Schizosaccharomyces pombe: one gene and its partners. Changing the gene in region 2 together with the main gene of any one other region gives a genetic interaction. Each region holds a gene or a part of one and is shown on either strand. Other genes may lie near its edges.

Region 1 (6,616 bases), 1.2 Mb from region 2:
AGACGAATTGCATTTAAATCGTACAAATTGGCGGATGCATTATCTTTTGAAACTTGTTCAACTTTTTCCTCAGCATAGCTGGGAGAGTAACCTTCCTCTTCTTCGCTCTTCTCCGACTCATTCTGTTCTTCATAATCGGAAACAGGGCTCCTTTTTCTAGTTCTTTCAGAGACGCTTCTAGCTGAACGTTCCTGGCGGCGCTTTTTCAGCTCAGTAAGCTTATCACGTTTGCCAGCGGCTGCTGAAGTTAAAGGCTTGTCACGAGTAGACCTTCTAGTAGATTGCGCCATATACTGAGCATTTTGCTGATGGAGGCGAATTGCCAATTCACGCCTTTCCATCAACTTTGAAATTTCTTCTTCACGTTCGAAGAGAATACTCTCTCTCTCAATTTCCGTCATTGCCATTATCCTTTATTTGGTTAGACAACTTTATGAAAAATGTAAAAATCAACGTACTTTGCTCTGTCTGCTTCATCTTTAAACTTGCCCTCTAGACGATACGGGTTTTTGAATTTTTCTTCAAATTCGTCTTCCGACTTCTCATTTCCTTCTCCTCCAGACTCTTCCGCATAATCCTGTCCAACATTTTCATTATTGTCTTCGTCTGAACTGCTGCTCAACACATCATCTCTAAAATATGTTTTGTTAGCAAGGTCAATCCGATAAATTTGCTTTCTTACAAATCATCATGAGCCCTTTTACGGTTTGAAGCAACATCTGAGTCATCAATACCAGCTAATGCCAACAATTCATCCTGAAAGTCGGCCATCTTGGTGGAGGACAGGATCAGATTAGCTAGATACCTGACTAATAACGGTTCCAAGGACTCTCCACCAATTTCATAACAGCAGCGAAACTTTTATCTACTAGCTTTCAAAGGTACTATCTGCTAGTACATTAAAAGAATAATGTTTTTATAATTTGAAAAGTGATTTTTTTTTTAATTTTTTTTTTACGAAATAATTTTTGCAGATGTTGTCTTCCTTGGTTACAAACCTTATCGTTGAAAGCTTCCTTTTAAAATACTGCTCATTTGGGGTCCTCCTCTTTCCCTCTTTTTGAATATATTTCTTCTGTCGCGTAAAAACTTCAAACTGAGAATTCTGCATTTTGTTACAATATAAAATTCGTGAATCAAACCATTCAATAATAATCACAAGACTGTAAATAGGGCACATGTTAAATGCTCTTTTACAAAGAAAATCGTTTTAAGAAATAAGATATCTCTTCCATATCTGGCTTCTTTTACATATAAAGTAGCAAAGATTGCTTACGCCATTTCAAAATGAACTCGGCTCTAAAGGCAATAATAGAGCTTTGTATTGAAGAAGACTTGTTGCCAAAATCATTAGATGTTTTAGAATATCTTCTATCGACGACCTCTATACCAATTCCAGCTTGTTATATACGAATGTGCATAACTCTTCTAGTCCACCCAGAATATCCTACCTCTTCTAATATTCAAGAAAGCTGTAATTGGATATTACAGCAGGTGGTTGAGAACAGAAGCAAAATCAACTTTGACGCATGGTCATTTGAAAATGATCTATCGGACAACGATATGCCTAAAGAAAATTATCTGAAGATTTTCTCCAACCAATGCTTATTTACCCAAGATGTTGATTATTGGGATCTAATTGCATACATGTCTTCTCGTCCTCCTGACCTTGAACGTTGGATGTCCTTGATGGACATATGGTTAAGGATATTAGAGATCGATGCTGAGGAAAACGGATCTGCGTTGATGAAAAAATACATGGGAGAAGATTTGTGTGAACTTCAAGATGCCATCAGAATTTGCTTCTCCTGTTTCACTCTTCCCCAGCAAACAATGGAATCACCTTTTGCAACAAGTATGTCCAAAGCACCTGCTAAAACAGAAAGTCGAGGTTCAAATAGTTTTGAAGGAACATCAAGACTAGCAAACCTAGGTGCCAAACTCTTATGCCTTATATGGGCTATGCTTCCGAAGGGAAGATTTTTTGTTGTACATCTGACAGACGCTTTTCATTTTCTTAGCAAACTCGACGAACGTTTTTCAAAACTGAATGCGAAACAACAAGATCTTTTCTTTGGAAACTTAGGCGCCTCCAATCTCCGGTATTGCCTGAGCCAATATATACTTATGAAAGGAATAGGTATTGGAATTAACATACGCCATACACGTTGTGAGTTTACTAAACAGCTAACTCAACTTTTACCCACTTCCCTTCCGAAAAACAAAATCAGACAGAAGCTACATCTACGAGCATGGGTCTCATTTTTGGGTTCGGCCCTTCGTGAAAGTGATCGCAACTTTGATAAAGAGCTATTTTACACAACGTTGAAGCAGTTATACACAATGTATCAACAAACAGAATTAGTTGGTATTGATAGACCAATGGCAATACTCAAAGACATGCTTGTATTATTAGATATTTCAAAAAAATTGTCCTTGGATAAAATCGTTTAACTTAATAATTTAACTACAAATTAACAGAAGTCATTTGGCATTAATTGTGTATCCTAATATATATAGACTATATGTATCGTTTCAATGAATGAGGCTTTGTGTGGAAAATAATTATTATAATCATTAGTGATAACTAAGAAAATGAAATTTATATGAATAATATATAATAAACAAACGGGTAGATAGAAAGTAAATTAATTATTACCGAAAACGAAATGAAACATTTTGTGCAATAATTGTATGCTTGACCCCTTTATAAGATTTTTTATCTGGATGATTAAGCATCTTCAATGACTCTACTTTAAAATTATGAAGGGTTGATCCTTGAAGTTTATATTGTAAATCAAGGTGCTCAAGCTTAGAGTAGCTACTTGACTCTTCGGTTGAATTGGCATCTTTCTTTAAGGGGGCCAGGAATCCTGTCAACACTAAGGCCGGGGATGTCCAAGCTAATTTTTTTACCGACCACTCCAGAATACCTTCTTCCATATGAGTATACTTGGAAGCACGAAAAATATAATTTCCCTCGGTAACCGTAACGCTCTTTAGAGCTTGAGGAATAGTTATTAGGATTTTTAAATTTTCAACGGATTTTTTCCCGGTGTTTCGAATACGTACTTCGAACCTTCCATCCAACTTATTTTTTGCTTCAACAACAACAGGCAAAGATTTCTGGGTAGCAAAGTCTGTTTGAAAAGAAGCTAATGTAAATTTTCCGTCCGGTGGAATGAATTCAATCTGATCCGGATGTTGTTTCCATCTTTTTAAATTGACTGACTGGTGGAACCGAACATTCCCTAGTTTTGTGCCGGGTCTCAAACTCAGCAAAAGTAAAGGCATACCAGATATTTGACATTTGCATTCCATATCACTTTTAACTGTGCCAAAAGCAAGTTTTCCGTTAGGCTGGTAAACGGCTGATACGCGTTCAAGTACATGAATAAAAAATTCATTGGTTGCATATTTTGCTTTAGCTGTTCTCCAAGGAACGGTATCTCTTGCAAGAGTCGGTGTATTTCTAAATCATGCGGTTAGCACTGCAAAAACAGAAAACTAAATAACATACGTTTGTAGACCAGTAACTGCCATAAACTTATTCATAAAGCTAGGGAGTGGTACAATGTCCTGCAATGCATTTGGTTCCATACAAGTTGCATATCCATAATCAATCATTTCAGCTAATAGCTGGACAATAACGCAAACATTTTTCTCGACCTTTGAAGCATTAAACCCACCAAAAAATGTTTTAACTACATCCACAATGCGTCTCATAATATCATGAATGTAGAGAGGCTCAGTGTCGCAAGTTGTAGGAATACACAAACGCACATCTTCCTCTAACTCTTGAAATATCAAAAAATTTTTGTTATGTAATATAAATGGAGGCTCCTCATTTCGAAGTTTGTAGCGAAAAAGTTCGTTTTTTATATGTTCTAACGTTATGGGAGATGTCCTTCCTCGAGACTCCAACTGGAGTAGTAACGCCCTAGTCAACTTGATTAATAAAGTAAATAAACAGCTAACGCATACCCATTAGTGTCTACAAGATATATTGCTTCTATTGTGCTCATTCAAAAGTTTTATGAAAGGAGCGGTTGGTTGGTGATGAATACGTATGAAGGTAAATGGATTAAGAAGGTCTTCTAGTGTACAGGAAAGGGTAACCATAGATGTCCTTTCTCAATCTTTTTAAAGCCTAATTTATAAACAATTTAAGTAATTAATAGTAATTAAGCCATGCTACTGTTGACATGCTAAACCGTTTAAATGGGTTGCTAAAAGGTACGCAGGAACCTCAGGTTGAAAAATTAATTAGATTAAACAGAAAACCACCTTTCATAAATGTCGTAGATTAAGATACTTGTAAAAAATATATATATATGACAAATAAATATATCACAATGAACTTTACGCTTTGTGTAAATATAGCAAAAAGCATTATATATGAATCAGCAAGGATGTATGTGTACTTGATGCCCATTTTTGGTAAATTTACACAAAGGTAAAGTAAGAGATAGAGAGCTACTATTGTCTACATCAGTATTAGAACGTTTTAGAAGTAAAACTGTGCATTTTTCCTCATTTTTTTCAGCTTCAACTAGATATATGTCAGAGAGAAATCGATCGAGAACTTTAATGGAAGAAAGTTGCACAAGCTCAGTTTCAGATGAACGATGAACACGATTGATATATCTCTTCTCGAGATCTTTTGTGCACTGGAAAAGTGATTTTTGTTTACTAGATGCAGGGGAAGACACGCTAGAACTCAAGAATGACGGTTTAGATGGTGGAGTACCCATGTGATGAATAGAATATTTAGCCAGATGTGTTGAAATAGGCGACTTCATCTTGGCGTTTTTTATTCTCTGAGATTCTGGAGACAGGTAGCGCAATGCTCTAGGGCTTGACTGACCGATATTGGTAATTTTAGTCGGAGATGTTGGAAGCTCTACGTTGTATGTAGAGCTAGCAAATGGTTTTTGAGAGGAGCTTTGAGGATGTCGAGCAGGCTTTCTTTCATCCTCTGATGAAGAAGAAAATTCATCAATGTCTTCATCCAAACCCCGACGCTTTCTGACTAGATTGGAAGACTTGCCATTGAACGATTGATCCTCAACATCTTCAATTGCTTCCATAGACAGCGCCATTCTATGAAGTTTCTCCTTTTTCGCGGAATTAAATCCAAAAGCTTTGCTACCTGCTGAAGCTGAGGTAGCTTCATTTTGAGATGCGCTTTTTCGAGGATTGTATTTGACTTTCTTGGAACTCATGTATAATAGCGTTGCGGCATGATAAATTGACAATAAATTGAATTTCAATAATCCTAATATATGGATACAAAGGAAATTTTGAGCTTAAACGTAAAAAGCTGGCACAACATTGATATAAGTGAATGACTTGTGGTGAGAGCAGACAACGATCATGCGAGTGTAATCAGCACTTTACTGTATGATCGGCTGTATTAAATACGAAGTAGTGGAAAAAAAATAATAATTTTTGGTTAACAAATACTTTAGTCATTTGGTTAAACAAAATAGATTTTTTCGTCCACAGACCCATTTTAGTTATGGAAAATATATATATATATTTTTTTTTTCGAAAAGAGCAGCAATAAGGAATACGAGGAGGACCTACAAAACAACACGGAGTAATTACGAGATTAAATTACGAATAATAAGTACGTTGGGTATTAAACGAAGCAGAGAAAATATAATAAAATAGCATCATATTGAGCAAAGCAACAAGAACTTCAACCACACTGCAATAGTTTGCAACTCAGAAGAGAAATGAGAGATTGAGCCGAACCTGTTACATTTACAATATATCGAGATGAGAAAGACGTATTTATGAAAATAAACACTCATAGTCATAAGCAAAATAATTGAGAAAACGCATTCAATCTCCTAATTCAAGTCATAATACAACACTTTTGAAACGCAACACAACACAGCAACACATTTTCAAAGTTGAAAACAAAACCATGGTTATTACCCTTGCATTTTTTTGCAAAAGATACTATTGAAACCTTAAAATAAACGAGGAAGCGAACCAAATAAAAATCAAGCGCAACCTGACAGAAACAATCAAACAAATTATCCCGCAGAGGTTTACTTGTTAACAGTGGTGTTTATAGTCTCAGTAGCTTGCTTTTTAAGTTTATCACCAGATCTCTCAAGGGAAGCAACCAAATGCTTGATAGAGCGCTCATTGCATACATACAATCTGGGAAGGATGAAGGCAAACAAAACATTCCAAACAAAGAGAGACTTGTAGGAAAGGAAGCCACTAAGGAAAAACTCAATAAAAGCAGCAACAGAGGCAGTAAAGGTCAAAATAGGGCTCTCAGCAAACAAGATACGTTGGAATTGAATCAACATAACGTTGAAAATGTCGACAATTGAGTTGACAATCCTATCAAGAGCCTTGGAGTCGCAGGTGATGTAGGAGGAACGGAAGTGAGACAAGACACCACGCTTACCGTTGGAAGCGAAAAGACCACCGAATTCAATGATGGAGGTAATCAAAAAGACATAACGGAAAGTTCTGAAAAAGAGGCGAGGAAGATTGATCCAAGAAGGGACATAAACGAGAGCAAGAATACTCATCAAGGTAGAGAAACTGCAAGAGGTGTTCTTCCAAGTCAACACAGACCACAAAGCAT
Region 2 (10,083 bases):
TTCTCTGGGGGTTCGAGGTCTAAATATGGAATTATTTAATGATTATCCAGGTAATATGCACAATATAAAGTCTGTATTGAGCTTAGAAATAGACATCGTTTTGGGAGAAATGGACGCTTGTCTAAAGAGCTTGGAATGTAATCTTTTAAACAGAAAAGCATATAATGAATAACTGTTTATGATGCTTTTAGTCCTTTCATAATATAATCTTTAATTTATTTAATGTTTTAACTTCTCTTTTTTTGCTAATATATTCGTTCATCTTTTATGAAAATCTAAATTGTTGAGATAATGATGCCAAATACAGAACATTTAAATTAAAATAGTGCCCACGGTTAAGGAATAGAGTCGTAAATTTATTGTCGTGATAATAACTAAAGAACAAGATGAGGGATAATTTAATTTATATGAGTTACAATTTGAACGAAAATTACAATGATTTAATTTACCTTACTAAATACCCAAACAGTAGAAATCTTAATATTGTATTTAAATAACCATCCAAATGAACCATTTTTATTACCAAAGCATCAACCCGTCGAGGAAAACTTTAACTTGCTACAAATCGAGTGTAGTCTATCGTAAAACCGTAACTTTTGTTCTGTATTCACAAAATTTATTGCCTGTATCATCGCATATTCCTGCATAGTTTCAGTCCCATGAAGAAGTAAAACCATCAATAACTTTTCGGAGGGAAAATGTTGGGAAAAGCAGAGCGATAGGAAAATCTTTTGAGCTGTTTCAAATTTTCGTTTTCGTAAGAACCACTCTAAAAGAGTTGTTTTCAATTCATAAGAAGCAGGAAGAGCCAATAACTCCATATGTTTTAATAAATAAAAACTAGTCCTAAGCCTATTTTTTTGAAGTAGAAAGTAACGAATAGTTAAAGTGAACATCCTCGATCTAAGAAAAGGATCATACTTCCTTCCAAAAAAAATCAGACGAACACAATTTTCCTTCATCTCTGCTGACACATTTGGCGCGTTTATAAGATCGTGTAAAAAAGCATTAAGTTTAGAAGAGCTATTGAGATGAAGTAAGCGTATTCTGTCTTTTAGATCATTTGTGTCTTTAACATTTTGAAGCTCATTTAGTAGCTTTAAATGTGATTCTCGATATTGTGAAAATCGAGACTTAAAATCTGAAAAATTACTCATGGAAGACATGATTTTATAGGGTATCGGTTCAGCTTTACATGGAGAAAGAGCTTCACTGGTATTTAAATCACGAAATTGTTTTGTGCTATACTGTCGAAAGTAGCAACATGAACAACCAACATTATGATTGCTTACAATCGTAGCTGTCATGCGCCGTGCTTTTAGTAAAGGGGAAAATGCATTCACAGAATAAAACTTTTTTGGTGTGTTTGGTAAGGGAATAAAAAAATGAATATTTGCAAAGTTTTTGACATCGAAGGACCGTGATTTTCTTAAAGAATGAGAAGAAATCAAGCTTAGACGAAGTAACCTGTATGTCACATTGTACATAGCAAGAAAAAAAAAAAATCAATAATGTTCCATAGAAATAAACCCTTAAACGTACTTCCTTCTTTTGTCTATTAAACAAATCCGAAAACCTATCGAGTTATGTAGTCAAAAGAGTGTAAAAACCCAAATATATATATATATATTTTTTTTCAAATTATATTTATAAATTTATTTCCTTTTTTTTAAAGAATAATCTTCTTCCTTGCGAACAACCAAAACAAATTAAAACCAAATGCGATGTTGTATGAGATTTACTTGTGAGCAGAAATATGCCCAAACTCCACGATATGTTAAGCAAATACACTTTCGTTTAGTTATATAGGATTTGCTAATTTACTATAACATGAGGCTGCCGTTCGTTGCATACGTTGTATGTGGAAGTTGAGCATAACTTGCTAAGCATGGGTATTACATATAAGTACACCTTTGTGGTACGCAATTTTTATATTGATAATAACAGCGTACAAAGTAAAAATTAGCACGAAAAGATGAAAGGCAATATATTCTTGTTCATATTACTATCGTATGGAGGCCAGGGGCTAAGCAGGCCTACCTAAACTACACAAATTCAAAAAAATATCCGCAAGTATCAGACATGTCTTATAAATATTAGATTAATAATTTAAACATCCAAAAACAATTATAAACTCATTACTAACCCTAGCGCAATCACCTTTTATGTAAACACTAGTCTAACTTAGTAAATAAACTTATGAAAAGAAACAAAGAGGGAAGGTCAAAGAATAAGCAGAAAACTAAAGATCAAACTTATTGAATAACAGAAGAAAAACGATAATAAGAAATCATAAAAATCATTAATTTACAAAAATTTTAGAAAAGTGAAGGTTCGGAAATTTGGAGTTCATGCGGAAATTGACAAATTATTCGGCCTGGACGGGGATTCATTTAAGTCCTGTGAGGTTGAGGAAGACAATAAAACCGAGTAAGGAAATAATTCAAATACAAATTGTTGAATCTGAACACGGTAATGGAATTTTCCCAGAATGGTCATACAAGCTTTCACCAAACGTTTAGAGGAGAAAACTTTAGCATTTTTCGAACGAATCTTTGTTAGTTGCCGTGCTGACTCGTTTGTTAAAACATGGTTTGACAAATTGGAAACGAGCCTAATTACCTCTCTCTCTGAGTTAGTTAAAGAGCTAAGTAATGAAGAAAACTCAGGAGTTGGCACGCGCTCATTTACAAACTCAACATTTCTCCTTGGAGTTGATAATACTTGTCCAGCATGTCTCGGAATGCAAATTCCTTGTGAAGTGCCCATTAAAGACATAAGGCTATACCAATGCAGTGATTCGAGTATCTCAACGCCTTTAGAAGTCCTGGAAATCAAGCCTAATACAAAATAAGCAGTTCCTCGAACAGTAGGAATCAATGAATTTTCGGCATATTTGACAATCAACGGTATCGTATCATGGTTAATTAAAAACGTAATACCCTGATCGGTTTTTCCAATGTTTCCTATAGCCCAAAGAGCACTCTTTAACTGCCTGATGGCTTCATTTCCTAACGGTTTATCGTAAAATTCCACCAAGGTACCCATAAAAGATTCAAAATGCCCAGAAGACTCGAGAACCTCACAACCTTGTGGAGATTTGACTAATTCGCCATAAAAGTGTAGGGGAAGTATATTTTCATCTGGTTCATTGTTTTTCTTGTCAATAATTTTGAGATTTGAAACAAAAGAAAGGAAAAAATTTTGCTCCAATAAATCCACGTAATCTATATTTCGATGATGGTACCAATTATCGAGTTCATGTTCAATAAAATTAATTTCAGAAAGGTAATGAAATCCGACAGTTGTAGCAAGAAAACGTAAAAGTAAAGGTGAGCCAATTTCACCCAAATGGGCCAATGAAGGTTGAAGCTGAACAACTTGAGCCAGCAAGTTTTCATTTCGAGCACAAACTTCATTCAACACCTTCACTGCTGTTTTACATACTTCCAAGCAAGGATCGTACAGTTGAAATATCAATAGAGAAATTGCCCAGTGATTTAAGTTGTCATTGGCAGACTCAGAATTGATTAAAGCCGCAAGATGCTTGGTTGCAGTTAAGCGTACAGCCTGTTGCCCGGTATTAAGCGCCTTAGAAAATATAATTCGTGTGTGCCCCTCTAGCCGATAATCAAGATTAGTCAGAAAAATAATTATGAGATCGTCTCTGTTCCTCAATTCTGTCAAATGGTAAAGTGTAGTAAAAATCCTCCATCGTTCCATAATTGCATGACCTTCCTTTTGGCTTGACAATACTTTTAACATAGGAAAGTAACCGTGGGTGAGGGTTTTCTGAAGCCTACTGTTCGAGAAAATCGGCTCAGAAACCTGTTCTGAATATCCGTCTATCTGGCTAAGAGATTCTGCTATTTGTTTAATCACTTTGCTTTCAGAAAGATATTTAACGCCTTCCGGATTGGCTAGTAAAGTCCTGAAAACAAGACAACCAACCTTTATAAATTTTTGATTTGGTTTAGTGTTTTGTATGGAAGAAAATCTGTTGGAAAAGGGTTTATAAAATGCTAAAAGCCGTCTCATAAATTTTGTGGTTCGCAAAGTTTCATCAATACGTTTCGGACTTAGCAATGGACCCTCCATAATTTGGACAAGTGTATCCCATCGCCATTTTTGATAGTTTTTTGTAGCTAACACGTTGGTTTCAGCTAGCATACTACGAAAATGTGAATCATCAATCTGCATGCCCATTTTCAATTTAACATGCTCAACCTGTCTTTGCCCCCGAAAAGATCCATCAGTTTTTTGCTCCTTAAAAAGAAGAGAGGTTGTCTGCGAGAAAGGTTGTGTTGCAGAATGGAATTTAACTCTATTCAAACTTTCAATGGATTGAAGAACAGAAGTGGCAACAAACCTGTCTTCGGCAGTAAATTGAGAAGCCATATTAAATAAAGATGGCAAGGATTGTATTTTGGCTCCTAAATGAATCGGCAGTAGCTCATCAGACAGCCTCAATACCTCTCCTAGAAGATATGTAGCTTTACGTGAGGCTGATGGGTCATCGCTGGCCCTAATCATACATACAATAGATTCAACCAAACCGAGCTCCAAAAATATAAATAATAAGACGGCTGTAAAATGTTGGCGTAGCGACATGTACTTTTTGTTGGAACCATCCGGTATATTAACCATGTTTATGTTATCATCATTAGATACAGCCTGATTTTTAACGACTGTTAATCGTTTTCCGGCCAAAAAAGACTCTGACCAACTTGAATACTCAACTTGGAAAATTAAAAAGAAAAGATCAATTACATCGCTTCGTGGAGCAAAGGATGGAACCCGAAGTGTATCAACAATCGACCGAAGAGCCTGAAAATCATTGGTAGACAAAGCCAATAATCCAGACCATGAATTAAGCAAAACAGAGGCAACTTTGGCGGAAGATTTCATGGCTTTTGCAGCTTGTTCAGACTGTTCCTCAGAGGAATTAAATGTATCTCGCGAAGAAGAACTAGTAAAAGGTGAAAGTAAAATGCCAATATCGTAGGGTAAATTTACGTAACAAGCGCTTTCAGGATCATCCAAAAGATATACTAATGCAAGTGCAGCACTAGCTGCTAAATTCTCAGAAATACTTCCATCGATTAGGGAGATCATTAAAACCCTTAAACCATTAGCTTTAAATAAAATTTTTGGTCGAATAATCATTAACTCGATAAGAGTTTCAACAGCAATTCCACGACTAACATCTGATACATGCTCACAAATTGAAATGATAGTCCTCGTAATACCTGAAAGATAATCCTCATGTCCTTCAGTTGATGAAAGAAAATAAAGAGTTCGGATTAGTCGGAATGCTTGCTCTCGTTCAATTTGATATGCATCGGTACCAGAAAGTAGAGACTTTGACAAGATCCAAGGTAAATTCAACATTTGACAACAAGAGAATGCTGTTGCGTCAAGAAACAAATGCCTTAGTAGTCTATAAACAGAAGCCGTAACTTCAGAGACATTCAACTCGAGCATTGAAAGTATGGTCGGAGTAATCAAGGAGAAGTTTTTTGCATAAGCGGGATCAGAATGTTCATGTAAGTATTCACATAAATTATTTGAGGAATCGATTACATCCTTCATACTGCCTTCAAGACAAGCCTTATATATATTATCAAGCCAAGGATTTAATGGAAATTGTGAGAAATTCGATTGCAAACTAGAAGGACGTTTTCCGTTAGGTTGAGTATCTTCAGAAGAAGAATTATTTTTTTCGTTGACATTTTCAAAGTCAATTCTTTGAATGACGGTAGGAGTTAAATTGCTATGCGCATTTCTGGTAGGACCTATTAATTCACCAGTCCCACTGACTGTAACACTGCAACTATCGCTACATCCTGCTTTGTAAGAAAATCTCGTACTATACTTTTCCTGCAATGAGCTCTTTCGACTGACAGTCGCAGAAGCAGACCTCGTGAGACTGGTTGAGCCAGTTTTTGCTTCACCATTTTCTCCTTGGAAAGATTCAATGCTAGAAACTAATTCCTCTATCTTTTTTTTAGATGATTCGAGCTCATCGGTACATTTCTTTTTTAACATTTCTTTACGTTCTTTTGTTTCTTTTTTAAAATTGGTGTCGAAGACTTGCAGCAACGTTTCAGCGCCATCCCGTATTTTGCACTCAACTTCGAGCTTTCCCTTCAAATCCTCAAGTAACTTGAGCCTTTTTGAATCAGTGGTATTCATTTTTTTGATAAAGTCACCATTAGTTTTGGCATGGGAACTTATATCCAAAGCAGTATCGGTTTGTCCCCTTCGCACAGGTTTCATGAGCACTGATCATTAAAAGCAGGAATAAAAAAGCTATCTCCTTCCATAAGCGCCTTCATGAAATAGCCTTATAAAGGGATAGTATGTTTTCGTACTAATACTTATTGCGTGCAACACGCGATTGCTTACTGGGCTAGTCAAACTCTCAATTTTTAAGCAATCTAGTAAAATTAAAGATATTAACACTTAAATAATAACTTAAGATTGTGAAGAGTCCTAAAATGATAATGCTTGCGAACTATGCTCGTATGCTCATGGATACCCCAACGGCTGAACTTAATCGGAGTTCTGTTACCGGCGTTAACGATTGTACGACATGGAGTGATGTTTCGCTATTAATGGGCAAAACAAATTTCCTTAGAATTCGCTAATAAATAATTAGATACTAGGTACTGGTTCACTAAAGAATCGAATCCTTAATGTTTACTTTACAGTCTCAAGATTGCTAGTTAACAGTATACGAAAACATGAAGGATAAATCAAAGCAAGAGAATAAGATGAGTAAATTATATTACTACAATCAACTATTAAAATTTGTTTATATTTTTATTTATGGAAACAAAAGGCTAAACAAAAAATGTTTTAACAGATATGCCCAAGCCAATATAGAATTAAAATGCCATTTTGAGATACAAATATTGCTTTCGAAACATTTCAAAAAAGATTTTTTTAAAACGAAACGATAATAAAAAAGACAGAAAAGAATCGAAAATAATGTGAAAAGATAGTAAACAAAAAAAAAATTTTAACGAAAAAATAAATATTGGTAACGTGGATAAACAACTTCATTCATTTACCAAATCTCCTTTATGTATTTAAGGTTAAGTGGACTTTGCCAAAGAGCAAGTTGTTGGGTAGCTTCCAGCCTGCTCATTTTTCCGTATTGAACGCAAACATCAATCAAGGCATTTTCAACACCATCTAAAAATCCCTTTTTACCACCACAAAGATAAACCTTCCCATGAGGATGACTAAGAACACTCCATACAATGTCACCACGGTGTCGAATCTCGTCCTGTACATAGGCATGTTGGTGAGAACGTGATTCAACAACAAGATGGTTGGGGCCACTAGTACCGTCTTTTTTAACTTCGAAGGAATCCATTTCAGTTTCGGTTTGTTGGCTGACTGTAGAAGATGCATCATCGTCTGAAGACTTTTGAAGCGGGTTTTCCCACTCACCATGATAGAGCTCATCCAATTCTTGGTCGCGGCATCCATGGAAAACCCAAACTTTACCAGCACAAGTGGCATTTGTAAGACGTCGTTGCACAAAACCTCTAAAGGGAGCAACACCTACACCGGCACCGATTAGGCACATAGGGCCATCAGAAGCAAAATGTGTGGCAAATGCGTTTTTGTGCAGACCGCGGTACATTGGAAGGACGAGATCTCGTTCACCATTTAAAAATCTCAATGCCAATCTTTTCAAAAAACCAGAACCAATACCAGAACGAGTGCCTCCTTCAACTTTATTGATTTCAACAACTGTAACCGCAAATTCCAATACATTATTACTGACCTTGGGATCGTTTGACAAAGAATACCATCTAGGCATAAGCTGGGGAAGCACGGTTAAAAGGTGATCAAGAGGAAGTTGAACACTAGGGAAAGCCTTTAGCAGAGTGATAAGTGTAACGTTGTGGTCCCTTAAATCACAGAAAGCACGTTGTCCCAAACGACTGACCAAAAACAACAAAACTTGCCGCTCGGTATCATCCTTGGCGTATTCGGCAAGTAACCGAATAAGCTGCTTTTTTGGGGCGACAGACATAAACTCCACGGTCCATTTAAGAAGCTCACGCCTGGTTGTAACGAGTTCTCTAGGTGTGTCTTCTGCCCAGATGGTGGGCCAACGACCTCCATCGGTTTTTAAAAGGACAGGGGCATCTGCCTGGTCGGGATTGATATGAAGTAATTGTAAAAGCTCATCCACATCCTCTTCGTTGTTGGGAGCCATTACACCAAACGACCCTCCAACCATCCACTCTTCGCCTTCAGGAAGGGGATAGTTGGAAACGTCTAGTTCAAAATGGAACACACGTTTGACAGCACCTGGTTTAGTGAGCTCACGAACGTCTAGTATAGGGGCGGGAAAGACACTGAACGGAGGGTGTGGTTGAACATAGTGAGGAGGCATTCTAGAAGGAGTTGAATGAATTTGAAAGTTGGGGTCTTCTTTGGCACGAGCCTCATCGATATCAATCAAAGAGACATGATTCTCGGGAACTTTGGGAATTCTGTCAAGAGTAATATTTTCATGTAGAAGACCTAGATCCATGTTCAAAGCCTGGAAGGTAGGGTTTAATGAAAGTTTGGAGAAGGTTTTGGAAAGTTTATTTACCGACTCATCGACATTGGCCGATTCATGAGGTTCCGAAGGCGAGCAACGACAGTTTATACAACCATTCTCGTTGGAAACACACGTTTTAAAGTTCGAAGAGGGAGATGAGGTACGCGGAGATGGTAGGATCTCTGCCTTAAGTGAGGTTGCAACAGAAGGTGCCATCTTGAGAAAAAATAAAGTAGAAGTGGATAGAGAAAAGTATTAAAAATAGTAAGGGGAAAAAGGCAAACAAGCTGCCGGATGAAAAGGAATTACAAATGGAAACTAACAAGACAGTGAAGACTTTTAAATAAACAAAATGACAATCGTAAGGAAGAAAGTCAAGGATGTAAAAAGTAGAAAACAAAACAAAACAAAAGAAAAAAAAAGAATAAAATTTTAGAGAAGGGGAAGAAAACGAGTAAACGGATTAAAAATAAGATAGATACACAAGACACAACGATTCCAAACCAATGGGTGGGGTAACCCGAATCCTAGAAAGATAATTTTAAATAAAAAGAAGGAGAAGACGTAAAAGGATAAACCGATTAGTACGATGTTCAAAGAAATTTTTGGAATCTACAGGCGTGGTAAAAGTAGAGTTAAAACCAGACGATCTGAAGGAAAAAGCAAAGGCGATAAAAAGGGCTGGCAAATGAGAACGAGTGAAGCAAACAAACAAATGTGGAAGAATAATTTGTATTGTATTTGTTTTGTATCAGATATGAAGCAAAGTCGCCTCTCTTGGGTGGTGTATGTGTACGAAGATACAAGTAGGTGGTAGTAGGACAGGTGAAGATGCTAGCTACCTTGTTAACAGGAATGAGATGTACGGTACCTTAAGCCACCAGGGCAAAACAAAGTGTCTGTTAATAAACTCACCCAACAGATGACTAAAAAGGTGCTCAAGCTTGCGCAACTTGAGTAGAAGGGCCAATAAAAAAAAATGATCTGATAAAAAATTTTTAGTCAAATTAAAATCACACGTTATGTTCCTCCGACAGCCCGTAACGAAGAGCGATCAAATAGGAATGCCACGGCTCAATAATGACGCAAAGATCGACGATTCAGATTGAAAACGAGATTTACCACTGACGAAGGTTGGAATGACAAGCTTGGACTAGGATTGCTGATGAGAAAATGGATGTTGGGAGTAGAGTATGCAAAAGTTATTGTAGAAGGGCTAAAAAGAAAGTTGCTATTTCTAAGTTTCAATAAAAAATTCAAGAATAGAGAAAACTCTTGCAGAATTTGGTATATACCTCTAAGCAAATTTGTAAGTGTAAGCAAGTTTTTCTTTTTTCTTTTTTTTACTATATCTCTCTATTTATGTACTCGTACTTTGTATTGTGTTTGTTGCGTTGTAAAAAATCCTACAAGTCGAGATACTTTGCATAAATATATATGAATACATACATATATATATATAAATGTTGTGTGAGATGTGTCAATGGGTAGATACAAGCGCTAGCGAATTG
Region 3 (7,787 bases), 690 kb from region 2:
AACGGCTTCTCAGTTTCAGACCCCATTTATGTAGCACGAAAGGAATAGGAATCATTAAGCAAGCAACTATACCAAGGATAGTACTTCCCCAGGCAACTGGAGCATAGGAAGGGCCTGTATTATTAAACATAGCTCGGGCAAACAATGGGAATGATGCAGCCATAGCCGAACGAAATAGGTCGTTTCCAGCAAACACAGATGCAACGTACTTTGGGTATGAAGCAGCCAAATACTGAAACATACTTTGAAACATTAAAAAGGCCCCAGATGCGTAAAAGAGCGTACTGACGATTGGTACAATCCAATGGACCGATTCTCTTCCCGACCAGCCAAACCAGAAAAGGCAAATGGGAATAAAGAACGTTGCTGGAAATGAAATGACCAAAACTCCTTCCGGAGCAAAATCACCACCACTGGCCATGAATGCTGGGATCATCACTTTATACAGGAATACGAAATAGCAGGCTAAAGTAATCAAGGCACCCACGAGAATACCTAAGTAAACCAAGCCATTTTCAATAATGGTAAAATGGTAAACGCTAGTAAAAAGGATTGGGAAAGCTTCGAACCACAGATATAAAATTGAATAGATTAGCCCAATATATATATTTAAAGACAATACTATCGGCTCCGAAATACTTAGTATTATCGGACGAATTATGGTTTCCTTTGCAAGCTGAGCAACACTTAAATGGGAAGATGCCAATTCGGCCTCTGTTCTATAATTTTCGTTTCCAGTTATCTTACGGAACCTCTTTGCCCTCTTATATAATATATGCCATTCAGAAGTCTCTGGCATAAAAAAGAAGATAACAATCAATGCAAAGCCAGAAATCATCATCAAAAGCCAAAATTGCCATCTCCAAGATTCAGCAACGACCATCGCTCCACCAAGCAACGGTCCCAAAACTGGACCACCGATGGCTCCAATTGCCCAAAAACACATAAAGTAGGGAAGAAGCCATGGTTGCCAAATATCTGCCAAAGTAGCACCTCCAGTCGCTAGAGCTGGCGAGCCGAAGAAACCGGCCAAAAACCTCATTGGTAATAAGACGCCCAAGCTAGATCCCAGTGCGGTGGGAATCTGTAAACACACAAATACAAGGAGAGAAAGAACATAAATCTTTTGGCGACCAACTTGTGGAATCTCCGAGAGTGGAGACAAAATTAGGGGACCGATGGCATAGCCAAGTACAAAAAGAGTCAATCCCAAAACTACGGGAACAGTTCCTACGTGCATCGTTTCTTGCATTTCTGATATACCTGGAGTAAAAATTGCTGATCCCACATAAACCGCAAACGTTAAGAAGCAAATATCAAAAGTCACCACAAGCTTTGCCCACAAAGGCCAATTTAGGGGATTTTCGGGATCGTTGGCATCATCCCATCGCACAATAATGTGTCCCTCTGAATTAACTTCATGAATCTTCAGATCGCCGGATTCCGAGCTGCATGAGTCATTGGAATCTACTTTGCTAATGTCTTTCCATACTCTCAGTTTCTCTAAGTCGTTGTCATTGGAGTTGTGAGAAACGTATTCGACCAATTCGCCGAAAACGGTTTCCCTTAAAAATCCCATTTAAATGACCGTATGTAAAAACCAAAGTTAGTTCTATTTTTTGGTCTCGGTTAACTTTATTAAAAACTTGACAGATTATTTGCCCACACTTGCTGGTACAATTGTCTGGCTACATTCTTCTCCTAATATACCCTTCGTGCCTTACCTAATCAACGTGAATGTTTACTAAGTGTAAAGTAAGCATATATTGATTGATTAGTCAATTATGTGAGATTCCTTCTTTCAATTATCCATCGTATTCTAAGTCGTTTCAGTAAGCAGTATTAAAAGTGCAAAATCATCTTGTTGCTTATGTAAACAAAAAAAAAATTAAGATTGGAAGTTACAACAAACATTTCTAACGTACATCAGTCGATCGTCATCTCGCGTAAAAAATTCTGCCTTAATTTTTGTCAGCAAAAGAAAGCGAAATTAAAAAGTAAAAACAGAACTATATGACTAATCAAAACTAAGTATGAATTAATTCTTTTCAGAGTAATGCGAATACAACAGTTACTTAAAAAAATGATGTCGTTAAAAACAATTTTAACTTCAAACTATGATTAAGTAGGTAGACGATCGACGGAAGACAGAAAATAAGAGGGATTGCTATGCTTGCCGTTTTCCTTTGAAGACGATGTTTCAAGAAAATTAAAATTTAATATTTTACTTTTAAAGAAAAGCTTATATAAAAAATGACTATTAAACATCTGCAGTCATACGCACTTAATATTTGTCCAAATGAATATGCCGAAATTGTCTTGCTTTTAACTACTTCGCTTAAATTCCCAACTTTATCCCAAAAAGTAAAATCATATAGTTATTTCACAACATTAAGTTTACTTGAAAATGTCTAATCATTAATCATAAATAGTTTTAATAGAGAAAATGTGAGCTTCAAAAAAAACTTCCTCAGTTACATAATACTACAAGCATCGGTATCGAGCACTTCGTGTCCAAACCCATCATCCAAATGTGCACGATATGCAAGATGTGACAACATACGACTAGAAGAACGGTTAGTATTTACATGAGCAAATTAGAAGTATTCAACAAACCTCGTTATGTAGGAATCTCGCGACCCCTGCTGCCTATTCATTTCATTGGTAGCAATTATTTTGTAACTATTGGAAGTATGGTTCCTTGAACAACCTGATGGTGGAGTGTTCTCAGTATTGAATATCTTCACGGTGGAATCAATACCGGACACAGCAAGCGTGGGACAACGGGGATGCCCTTCTATAACGTTAACAGCTTCACTATCGCCATGGATAATTGCAAGAATGGAAGCATTTAACTTATCCCAAATAAAAAACCTGCCATCGTCAGAACCACTCATGACATATTCATCATTTTGACCATAGAAATTAACATTTTTAATAGACTCTACGTTGCAGTGACCATAATAACTTTTAACATGTGTGTTCACCGGCACATTTGGTTCCACTGCTTTCCGCTTCTTCATTCTTAAAGACAACAAAGTCGGACCTTCATCCGAATCCTCATCACTTTCATCATCATCATCACTAGCATAGGAGTAACTTTCCTCATCCTGGTAATCATCATCGTCATCATTGAGATCAGAATGCCCAGTATACATACTGACAATATTTTCTCCCGAACTACTTTCAACTTCATTTTCATAGTTCACTGGCGGTTCCAACAATGTCAAGAACCCGTTTTCATCATCAAGTCTTTGGCTGGAAGTAACGTCAGAAGTACTGCTGTCCCAAGGCTGAAATTGCTCCCAGTAGATATCGGAGGATATAAGAAGAAGACAACCGCGTAAAACTTTATGTATCCAAAAAAACCGCCTTACAGAAGATAAATCATTAGTATCTATCCTAGCAAATGCCCTAATCATTTCAGAGGGATTTGAGAATAAAACCCGAGATGGTTCATCAGGATCACACAAAACAAAGTTTTGGCGAGCAACGTTCGTAGGCGGAGACATTTGTAGTGCCCAATGGTCCGATATTCCTAACAAATATCGTGTAACCCAATTCATAAAATCATACAACCATCCCCAGCCAGCTTGTATAATGGTGTTCGGTTCCAAACTCACAGTATCATCCATAAGCGCTAAAATAGAAACACACGCTCTCCAATAACGTAAAGCACTAACGCGGATACTATGATTCAAACCGTTTGAATCGGGAATATAATTATAATTTTCCAAGAAATAAATAGCGTCTTTAACGTACTGAATAGAGCGAGAAAAATGAGATAAACGACCGCTAACAATGCTCTCATACAGTCCTCCATTTTCGGTAGTAAAAAACTTTTCGATATTCTCATACATCTGATAAAATGTATGCTTTCGAGGTTGGGCTGCTGTATACGGATTTCTTGACACTCTACTAGCTGGAGTAGAAGCACCAAAGTTATTCTTATACCATGGCGAGTAATTTTTCCTTTTCAGCGGCTGTGTTTGAAGTAACGAAGGCTTAGACGGCTTTTTATTTGAATCCTCTATTTTATTAAAAGTTGGTGTATAAGATTTATCTTCATGAACATGGAATAAATATACATAATCAGAGTTCCAACTGACAAGCAACTATAACAAACATTAGAGATCACCCATGCAATAAGACTTACCTCATTAGGATTAGCAGCACTAAACTGACAACAAGTGATATAACGATCCAAGATACCTTGGGAATTACATGAGCCATCTGGACTAAATTTACGAACACAACGGCAGTCTTTTTCGGGAGAAGTGTTCATAGTCCAATCATCCCGGAAAGATTTTTTAACCATCCGGCGATCATATAGAAACGCGTACGGATGAGTACCACCAATTGCAAAATAATAAGGGTTTGAAGGGGACATGGTTATAGTGTATAAATTGATGCGATATGGGTTATAATTTACCAGTATAGAAGGACAATCCAAATCTTGATTGCAGACATGTGGCTCACGAATATCGTATTGACGAGCCGTCCCATCTTCACTGCAAACTAGAAAAGTATGACCATTGTCACAAGGGACGATGTTTTTAACAGAATCAAGAGCACAACTCCAACATCTAGTTTGAGTCTCCATGCCGTGATCCATTCCTCCTTCTTTACTTGAATCTAAATCAAACAACTTAATAAGCTTATCACCACTAGCAGACAATATTTGCCGGTTATTAGAATATGGGACAAATTTCGCACTGAAGATATTTTGAACATGGCCAGTAGATATTAAATGCCGTGGCTTGTATTCATTGAAAACATCCCAGACAATTAGTCTTGTATCATCACTTCCTGATAACAAGAATTCACCGTCCGCGGACCAGCTGAAAATTGTAAGCATTGTAGAACAAATTGTTATAAAACACTTACTCTAGTGTATTAACACATCCCGTATGACCAGTTAATTCTTTCTGCAAATCTATACCGGTCAACCAAGTCGAATTGCCGTAGATATCTCGACTGACTAATAAACTAGTTAGCATCATTCAAAAACAAAACAAGAGCATACTTTTTCGCTGAAACCAATCTCTATAATCCAATTGACGCAAGGATAGTGATATCCCAGACATGAGAGTCAATTCAGCGATTAACAAGCGTTGGTGGAAGACAAGCTCAATTCAAGTGGATGTCGGTAATGTAGCCACGATGAGTTAATACCATAAATCGTAACTGCAAACTCGAATCTTAGAGTATAAGCCTTAAACTCAAACTCCTATGTTTTTTTTAAAATTTAAAAAAAAAACTTGAAGCGCCTCTGTAATTTACTGAAGTAGAAACACTTCAACATGTGAGTTTATTTCGATGATCGAAAGGAGGATCTAATTGCACAAATAATCATTTTATTTTACACTAATATAATATTTACAAAATATCAAAAAACATTTTCATATACAATTGTCAGTTGTTCGAAAAAGGGGTCACTTCGTCGGCTATTATCCATTTCAGACCAGGAGAACGAAATTGACTGTTGTCCTTGCAGAAAGGAATTTATACCTTGTTGAAAATTTATCCCGTTTGTGTATTCCACAAGCATAGGTTGAAAGTGAGTATGAAACCAACATTGCACACTCGAAGGAAAGTAAAACTGGCCCTTGCGTTCGACTCTGAGCAAAAGGTCTTTCTCCGATGTTTCTAGGTTGCATTGTATCCCCCATATACGTTTTCCTTCTTTTATGCTTACATTATGGGATGATATATCTGAACTCTTCCACAGAGCAACTGGATTTATGTTTCGTCCCTTAGAGAAGGCATGCAATGATAGAATCAAAGATGAATTTTTTTTAATATTCAAACATTTAAAACTTTTAAAAAAAGTGGTACCAGTATTAAATTCCACAGCTTTCAAATAATTCGGGAACTGTTTTAAAATTTCGATATAATAGACGTAACGTATTTGCGATGAAATGGTAAGACCGTGCCCTCGAACCATTCTTTTTTCAGTATATAGTTCAAGACTTTGCTTGGCTGTCAAGCCTCCGAAAGCTACCAAGTAGCTACATATTACAGTTCCTGTACGTCCTTTTCCGGCCTTACAATGAACTACCAATGTCAACAAAGGTTGCGTTTGAAAGAGTGCATCCATATTCATAACAATAGCCCATAAAAAGAGAAGCGGAGGTGGATTATGATCTTGAAATCCATAATTTATGACATTTGGTTTAAATAATTCCAAATGGTAAACTGTTTCTTCGGCACATAAATTCAACAATATCCAGTTGTCTTTCAATTGCGTTGTAAGATATTTAAATACATCCAATTCGTCGTTTCGATATAACTTATGTATTCCAGCAGCCGGTGTAGACATAGCAATTACCTTGGAAGTAATATAAACCATATCTAAGTAAGCAAAGCTACGATTCACTTTTTCTTGTTTGAGGCCTTTTCGACCCCTCGAAACTACTGATCGAAGTATATTCATGGAAAATTACATGTTTAATTAGTTATTTGTAATATACTAGGATAATACTGCAGATGCCGTTGACTGTTGAAATATGAGGTAAGCTGCACTGTTCAGAAGAAAATAAGAGAAATACAATAAAGATTTTAGTAATGAACTTTAAGCGGGTAGGTATCAACCATAGTGACGTGAATAAATAACTAATTTACTTTTAATTATTTATATATTTTGATAGCAATGATTTGATAATCCATTTTATTGAAAAAAACATAAGGGCATAACTTTTCCCTTTAAACGATGCAAAAGTATTACTAGTAAAAAAAAATAATAAAGAAATAAAAAAAAAAAAATGAGAAAAATGAATAAAAAAAGCCAATAAGAAATACAATCGTAAGACATGAACCGTAAATAAGCATTAAAATATTTTGATAAAAATCCTTAAAAACATTTAAGTCCACCAAAAAACAAACAAACCCATGCGATTATTCGAATCCTCTAAAATAAATCCAAAACGTTTAGGTAAAAAGAAATAAGTGGTAGAAGTATATAACGTTAGACATATGCAATTAATCATACATTAAAAATAAATCGTGAGGCATACACATTAGCGAAGATCACCAGTTATTGAAGATTAACTGGATAGAGGACTTTGTAAAGTAATTAACGAGAGTGAGTAAGTAGCGGAAGTATCAGCAAATATAAGTACACTAACCTCTTGGCCTGGACGGATGGTTTGAACAACCTCAGGCTCTTTCATACGTAAACTATGAAGTTTTCCATCTCCGGAAATATCCTGATTGCCAGAGGAACTTTTAGCTGTTTTACTAGTACTGTCATTGCCTCGAGCCTTTGAATAGAAAGACTCCTGGGACTCAGCAGCGTTAGCTAAATCCCGAACCTGTGCATCCATCATATCGCATATTTGTTTGCACATCCCGTTGGAATCCAAAAATTTTTTCTTAAAGTCATTGAAACAAGGTGTATCAATTTCCAAAGAAGATGAAGCATAAAAGAAAGAAGCATTTGTCCTCCATGATAAATAGAGTTCGTGTTTTTGCTCATTAAAGTCGCAGTTACTAAGCGGTAGCAGATCCAAGGAGATCCTTCTTTCCAAGCCAAATTCGTATATGACTATGTCAATATACTCCTGGTCAACAGCCAAAACAAAAGCCTTATGCTTAACGAGCCCAGATCGTAAATTAATAGAATGGAGAAGTTGACATAAATATGCATGTAGACTTTTTTCCTGGGCATTACGGTAGAAGTTGCTCAGTGTGTTACAAGACTGAGTTATAGAAAGTAAACTTCTGTAGTCTTTGGAAAAGTCTGGTCTGCCATCAAAGGCTTCGCGTAATTGTCTCTGTACACATAT
Region 4 (6,715 bases), 1.3 Mb from region 2:
AAAGAGAAAAAAAAACAGAAATAGAAAAGCATTTGGAAAGAATTTCTTTTCTCAACAAAGTACCCGAAAATTGGCAAGTTACTTTACCAGAAACTACCGATTTCCTTCTTGATCAACTTGGTAATCTGCAGCATGCCGTTAAAAGAGTAGTTGAAGCCTCTCCCACTGTACACTCACGAGAGGTGGATGAAAGAATTACCTACTTAGAAAAAGGTTACGAACGATTATCTAATCCCATCGACCAGCAAAAGGATTTTTGGTCACATCACTTGTCAAAACTAGAATCGACAGCCAATACTGAAACTGCAAATAACATTCATAAGTTGCTATTGTCATCTGAAAAAGACGTCGGACATACTGACGAGCCTTAATACTAATCAACTAGCTAAAGTCTTGAGATGTTCTAACAATTGTGATCGTTTACGTAAACTTTCATAATAAATATATAAGAATTGGCGTTGGATCTCTAGCGAAAGCAAAGTAATGCTTAATAAAGAAAACTTGGATTGTCTCTGTCACTTTTTCCGTTACATTTTTATTTGTTTTGTTTAACTTCTCTTTTTTCCTAAATAACTGAATGGATAATAATTATTCTGACCCATTAACTCCAAATCTGTCAAACAATTCGACACTTGTACATTTTTCATGCTCTGCCACTTTGCCAATCATTCCCAAAGCAATATCCCGTATTTCATTATAGGTATGGAGTAGATCGATATGTTTTTGTACAGTTTGCTTAGCATCTCGATTTCTAAATCATTTGTCAACATTAGATAAAACGAGACAAGCTTGATGATGACTTGAATAGATTTGATGGAACGGCAATACATTGCTTTTCCCAAAATGAACCTGAACGCGCGTAAAGGCGCATAACTCATATTTTCTACCATTTCTAGCATCACTTTACCACACTTACTTTAGCTTAGCTAAAGCGTCTTGTAAACTACTTTCCAATTGCTCCTTCTGCTGTTCAAGCAAATGGACGCGTGACTCAAGTTGAGACTGCAGTAATTCATCAGTATTTTGTGAATGAACAATGGTACCGTTGGCTTACCTTTTCCATACGATTTAAACAGTTCTTTCTTAATGAAGCAATGATGTGTGAAATTTACTAGGAAGGTATCTGTTTTTGAACACCTAGTAGAAATTAAGTTGTTGAGGAAGGCAGGAGCCTACCGATTTGTTCAATTGAAAACAATGTCTATTGTTCTTGTAAGAGAGAATTTAGATTAGTGATGAAAGACAAGTAAATTGTTGAATCACGAACAATGGCTTATTTCAATATAATGAACTTCGCTAATTTGTATAAGAAAGTATAAGGATCACATCGGTTTTCGTATGCCCATGTACAAATTGCCTTCTTGCATGTATTTAAAGAATTGCTTACATTAGCATTTCCTGATTTAAAAATTGTTAATAAACATTTAAATTTTCCCATCTGTTTGAAGTGTATACTTAAGAAGTTTCAAATTCTGAACTTGTCTTAATATTTTGTCTCTTATTGGATAAAGCACGATTTGATTCCAAGCATGTTATTTCCTAGAGTTGTGCCGTTTCAATCTTTAAGGACAGCATTCCAAAAGAAAACCTTTTTACCAGTATCTTCAGCTGGTAACGTTTTCACTCCACGTTTCCAATTGCAAGCAATTCGCAGCATATGGATCCGATCGGAGGAGACACCGAACGAAAACGCTTTGAAGTTCCTGCCAGGGCTAGATATCTTGCCTCCAACTATCGGAAGCTGTGAATTCATGAGAGGACAAGGAACTGTGAATTCTCCATTGGCACAGAAACTATTTGATATAGATGGAGTTGATAGCATTTTTTTTGGAAAGGACTTTATTACTGTTTCCAAGGGAGCAGGAACTGAATGGGCTCAAATGAAGCCAGAAGTGTTTAGTGTAATTATGGAGCATTTAAGTAATGGAAGCCCAGTACTCTCTGAAGAGCCTCTAAAGGGGGCTAGCGATACTCAAATATTAGAAAGCGACAGTCAAATTGTTGCAATGATTAAAGAACTGATCGAGACTAGCATTCGTCCATCTATCCAAGAAGACGGTGGTGATGTGGAATTTAGAGGGTTTGATGAGAAGACAGGTACCGTTTCTCTTAAACTTCGAGGTGCATGTCGAACCTGTTCGTCATCAGCTGTGACACTAAAAAATGGAATTCAGCAAATGCTGAAGCATTACATTCCGGAAGTGGAAAATGTTGTACAAGTTTTAGATCCAGAAGAGGAGGTTGCAATTGCCGAGTTTGAAAAATTTGAACAGCGCATTAACGGAAACAAACAGAAAGCTGATAACAAGTAACTTTTTCCATTCAACATAGGGAATTTGGTTCATTTAAAAGACTTTGGTGATAGAAATTAATAATTGACGAACAAAACGCTATTTATGAGTTTTAAGAAAAAACAGCAAATAACAATGAATATTTACACTGTATTCGATAAAAAACACATACTACTATATAAGACGATTTGTTTAATCATATAATGTTACTTTCTTGGTTCATTTTCGACTGCAAATTTTATGTACGAATAATGAAGATGTGTATCATATAAACTACAGGTTTCATCAACACCTGTATTATTCAGAGATATTTAAATGTTTTAATAATAGCGAGGGTACATATTTATGAAATAAATAAGTAAAAATTTTGAAATACTGTTGGAATGTTTCGTTGATGTCCCTGTACGCAGATGACTATTTTCGAAATTTGAAAAGGAGAATTGATACACAGAACGGAGTTGAGTTAATGTTAGCCTTTGGCTCTCTTTTGCTTAAAAAACGATACTCGAAAAATTGACTAGTTAGAAAAGGTGGTAATGCATTCGTATATTTTCAATTAAGCTCTAGGTTATTAAATAGGTATACATAAGCGAATTATGTTTGGAGTTGGGAGATTGTATCAGCGTTACGAAATATTCGTCAATCATTTCATCTTTGCTAATTGCTGATTAACCAAATGATGAAGTTAGTGCTGAGCTTTATTTGTTTAAAAAACTTTGAGTATAAGCGAAGCGATAGATTTGGAATTGAAGTGGTGCACTGATACTCGACAATATTCCGTACAGTACATTGAAAAGTCTGATTGTAGATACTTCTTCACCAGATATCTAATTCTAAGCATACAGAAGTTGCAAGTAAATTTCCCCACTTTTCCCAGTACTCATTAAGCGCTGCATTAATTCGATTAAAAGGGCTATCTTCTTAATTAATGTTATCCGATTTCGACAATGATAAGAAGAAATGAAGGTCGCCTATTATTTCGAAATTTTAGTTTGATTCAAACATTCATGGATCCTTAGCGATAAAGGTTAGTTCCAACATTACATTAGATCCTCGGAAATAGTAAAATCATAGTAGACATTATTCAGCTTGAAATAAGCTAGCGATAAATGTTTAATATACAGGCGGTTATGAATAATAGGAAGATTTGGCGATCTAGCATATTTACATTCTTGATAGAATTTTAATATTTATAACGTAAGAGAAGGGTCAAATATAGATTATATCCATTAGCCTATTAAAATGCTCAACAAATATAACAAATTAAACTATTCATACGAATACACTAACTGTAAAGAGGCATCTATCTCATCTCAATAAGCTTGGTATTTTAGAGGTCTCAAAAACAAGAGGGCAATGATTGCAATAACATATTGTCATTCGTAAATGAACACCCCTATAATTTACCAAGCCTTAGAAAGTAAAAATAAAAACTTGAAACTTGATATCATTAAAGACTCATACGGGTTTTTGCTCGCATACTACCAGCCTTTGATGAATCCTCATGAGCACTATATTCTATAGTCTCTTTATCAGAAATCCCTAAAACTTCTTTAAAGCGCAGGCTACATGTTTGTTAGTCCAGTCAACTACCAACACGTTACTCTTAAAACTTCACATACCCGATTTTTTCCAAAACATCTTTGTCATTACAATTTCGTGTCCATACAGCGATTCTATAGAATCCTTTCCTCATATTGCAAACTACACCAGTAACTTCTTTCCCAGTAGGGTCTAATGTTTCTCCAATGGCTGCCAGCACCTATTTCCATACGTTAATACTTTCAACTTAAAAATTAACATTCTGTAAAGTCGATATCACAGCAGTTAAAATGAACAGACCATGACTTACCATATACAGCCACAACTCGTCGAGATTTGAACCTTTGTGCTTGCTTTGGTAGGCCCATTTCCCACCATTCATGTTTTGAGGATCCTCCCATTCAGGACGAATACCTTTCAAAAAGTAAGAGTAGTCCGATTTGGCGGGAAGCATCGAAGCTTTTGAGATCGTCTTAAAGATGCCCCAAAACTCTTCCACTGTCTTGAAGGAAATAATCTCTTTAAGAAGATCACTCCATTCAAGACCTTGTGTAGGTGGTTTCAAAAACCACAATGTCCATTCATGCTGAAGGGGGTGTGTTTTTACAAATGCAGTTTCAGCATTAACAGCCGATAGACCTTCAAGAAGGCGCGCTGGACGTCCCTCTCTTTCAGTTTTAACTTTTGGTGACCCAAATAAATCCAATAGATCTAGTTTTTCTGTGATTAAGGAAGTGTTGGGAAAACCCTCATTTTTTGAGTGACGCGAGTCTTCTGCATCTGCCATTTGCTTTTTTTAAAAAAACAAAAATATTAAAAGAGCTTAAAACGTTTTTATAATAGGCAGTTTGTAAACTAGGCTGGATGCTGAAAAGATGCGGTGGTCGTAATTGGGTTACGAGATCCAAGCAAAAGCAACTTTCAACACACTGTTCCTGTAAAATATAATTGTACATTCATACCTTAAATATTGGCTAAGTATATATAAAAAGTCAATAATCAGCCTTAAAGCTTTACAGTAAATTATTTGTTTGATTGGAAATGCACGAGTATAATCAAATTTCACACAGCTTTTTATCTGCATACTATTATAATTCGTGAAATCAAATTTGTTCCCCTTACGTGTCAAATTGTTAAAAATCATTTTGTAATTACAAAGATGCATAAAGCTATGTTGTATATCTAAGAATCATTTAAATCTCAAAAACAATGTTGCAAAATGTAGAACCTTTCTCCATTTCAATCAAAAAACAGCTTGATCTAGTACTACAAAAACACCACCAGTTAAATGCAGACTTCCGGTGACACAAACAAAAGTATTCCTGGATTTTTGCTTAATTGACATCACTGTCTCAATAGCTTCTTGGATGGTAGGGGCTACTGTTGCTTCACTAGTCGTGCCCTTCGATTCTTTCCACCATTTACATAAATCCTCTTGTACATGCAAAACGGGCTTATTATCAGTAATGGTATTAATGCTTAACAGCTCTGGATTATAGCCTGCATCCTTCCAGGTGACATTGGTTGAGAATATAACATGCGTAAACGAAATCCCAGTTCCCGAGCTTTCCAATCCTTTTAAGAAGGACCTAAGTAAAGCAATTGGATCATCCCTGCTTTGCTGGTTAAACAGAAGAATACGGGCATCTGCATCCTCATAAAGATTCTTCTTGGATGCGAGCCAAAGTCCAGTGGCCTCCAAACTTTCCTTGGTGTGGGCTCCATCAAAACACCATTTTATGTTGTTGATTTCCTCAATTTGGCATCTTCCAGGCCATTTTACATACTTGAGGCCGTCCAAAATTGCTGGATCCTGATATGGATCTCTATCAAAAGGGCACCCGGCCTTTTCATAGAATTCTTGGACTAAAGAAACTGCAAGGGATGTATTTCCAAGCTGATGAACTCCTGAAAGACCAATCATATCCGGCGTTAATTCAGCAGGAGGTATGACTACCTTAAGTGATGTATTTCGTTCAGCAGCACGGTTTTTTAAAACATTCATAGCCTCGGGAGCTTGCTCGCAAGTTAAGGCAATAGCTGATTCTTTGTAGATTCCAGCTTTCTGCCAAGCAATTTCTGCTATTGTGTTCCCCAACAAAGACGTGTGGTCAAGACCTAAGCTTGTAACTGCTGTGGCATATGGTTTTTCAATTAAGTTTGTAGAATCGTATTCACCACCAATCCCAACTTCAATGATAGCGGCATCGACATTCTCTGAAATGAAAACGTGCCATGCCATTAGTGTCAAGAATCGGAAATACATTGGCTTTTCCGAATCACTACCGACAGCATTCTCTAGGCGCTCCCATACATCAAAAAAATATTTAGTAAACAACTCTTGACTGATAGGTTTGCCATTTAATTGAATACGTTCACAGACAGATCGGAGGTGAGGAGAAGTGTACATACCAATGCATTTTGGAATCGACCTTTCTCCACTCTTCTGTATTTGCTGTAATATTGAGGATGTAAATGCACATGTAGAACCCTTTCCTTTAGTTCCAGCAACATGGATGACATTTAGTCGGTTCAAATCTGATGGCTGAGATTTATTAGTTAGTAAAAGTTGCATGACAGTATAGAACTATTAACAAAAAGATTTCGTAAAGAGATACAGGCTAAACCAGCCAAGTCAACAATTCCTATTGATATTTCCCTTTATAGACATGATGTGCTGTCCTTTCAATGAGATTATTATTATTAAAAATAAGGTGAAGTTAAAGAAAGGATCACAATCGAGTACTATAAAGGACATACAAATACTTGTTTCAATCTCGTTTAATCATATGCAGCGGCTTAAAATATTTGAGTGCTATTCTTTTGTAATTCCTAATTATAAGTAGTAACTTACCTGATATCCAATGCATCTAAGCCAATGT

What was found.
Region 1: mutations in ste20 (region 2) and apm3 together harm fitness more than expected from each alone (negative genetic interaction), as found in Schizosaccharomyces pombe (one large-scale study listed by BioGRID).
Region 3: mutations in ste20 (region 2) and iqw1 together harm fitness less than expected from each alone (positive genetic interaction), as found in Schizosaccharomyces pombe (one large-scale study listed by BioGRID).
Region 4: mutations in ste20 (region 2) and tif452 together harm fitness more than expected from each alone (negative genetic interaction), as found in Schizosaccharomyces pombe (one large-scale study listed by BioGRID).

The regions. Positions count from the first base shown.
Region 1 is NC_003423.3:1,256,616-1,263,231, forward strand, and holds apm3 (AP-3 adaptor complex subunit Apm3), read right to left. Parts: upstream 4,059-6,616; 5' UTR 4,026-4,058; coding exon 3,985-4,025; intron 3,941-3,984; coding exon 3,521-3,940; exon of another isoform or gene 3,473-3,520; coding exon 2,656-3,472; 3' UTR 2,574-2,655; downstream 1-2,573. Other genes in the region: prf1 (RNA polymerase II-associated Paf1 complex protein), read right to left, coding at 1-411, 459-632, 683-771; Smc5-6 complex non-SMC subunit Nse5, read left to right, coding at 1,288-2,454; protein dbl7, read right to left, coding at 4,404-5,225; reticulon Rtn1, read right to left, coding at 6,063-6,616. UniProt on the Schizosaccharomyces pombe protein: Part of the AP-3 complex, an adaptor-related complex which is not clathrin-associated. The complex is associated with the Golgi region as well as more peripheral structures.
Region 2 is NC_003423.3:2,472,335-2,482,417, reverse strand, and holds ste20 (target of rapamycin complex 2 subunit ste20), read right to left. Parts: upstream 6,540-10,083; 5' UTR 6,280-6,539; coding exon 2,350-6,279; 3' UTR 1,956-2,349; downstream 1-1,955. Other genes in the region: PAK-like kinase Nak1, read left to right, coding at 1-172; SPOM_SPBC12C2.01C (uncharacterized protein), read right to left, coding at 531-1,487; SPOM_SPBC12C2.03C (methionine synthase reductase), read right to left, coding at 7,073-8,788. UniProt on the Schizosaccharomyces pombe protein: Component of TORC2, which regulates multiple cellular processes to control cell growth in response to environmental signals. TORC2 is required for cell survival under various stress conditions.
Region 3 is NC_003423.3:3,160,472-3,168,258, reverse strand, and holds iqw1 (WD repeat-containing protein), read right to left. Parts: upstream 5,120-7,787; 5' UTR 5,088-5,119; coding exon 5,027-5,087; intron 4,982-5,026; coding exon 4,888-4,981; intron 4,842-4,887; coding exon 4,157-4,841; intron 4,116-4,156; coding exon 2,617-4,115; intron 2,566-2,616; coding exon 2,475-2,565; 3' UTR 2,357-2,474; downstream 1-2,356. Other genes in the region: plasma membrane spermine family transmembrane transporter Caf5, read right to left, coding at 1-1,579; phosphatidylinositol-3,4,5-trisphosphate3-phosphatase Ptn1, read right to left, coding at 5,390-6,436; SPOM_SPBC609.01 (Dis3-like exonuclease family protein), read right to left, coding at 7,047-7,787. UniProt on the Schizosaccharomyces pombe protein: Ligand-dependent coactivator of nuclear receptors that may function as a substrate receptor for CUL4-DDB1 E3 ubiquitin-protein ligase complex.
Region 4 is NC_003423.3:1,132,404-1,139,118, reverse strand, and holds tif452 (translation initiation factor eIF4E, 4F complex E subunit isoform 2, stress response factor), read right to left. Parts: upstream 4,726-6,715; 5' UTR 4,621-4,725; coding exon 4,144-4,620; exon of another isoform or gene 4,054-4,143; coding exon 3,914-4,053; exon of another isoform or gene 3,857-3,913; coding exon 3,742-3,856; 3' UTR 3,500-3,741; downstream 1-3,499. Other genes in the region: MIS12/MIND complex Mis12, read left to right, coding at 1-371; protein Swi5, read right to left, coding at 589-751, 917-1,002, 1,055-1,063; NifU-like protein nfu1, read left to right, coding at 1,530-2,312; met7 (putative folylpolyglutamate synthase), read right to left, coding at 5,077-6,378, 6,688-6,715. UniProt on the Schizosaccharomyces pombe protein: Recognizes and binds the 7-methylguanosine-containing mRNA cap during an early step in the initiation of protein synthesis and facilitates ribosome binding by inducing the unwinding of the mRNAs secondary structures.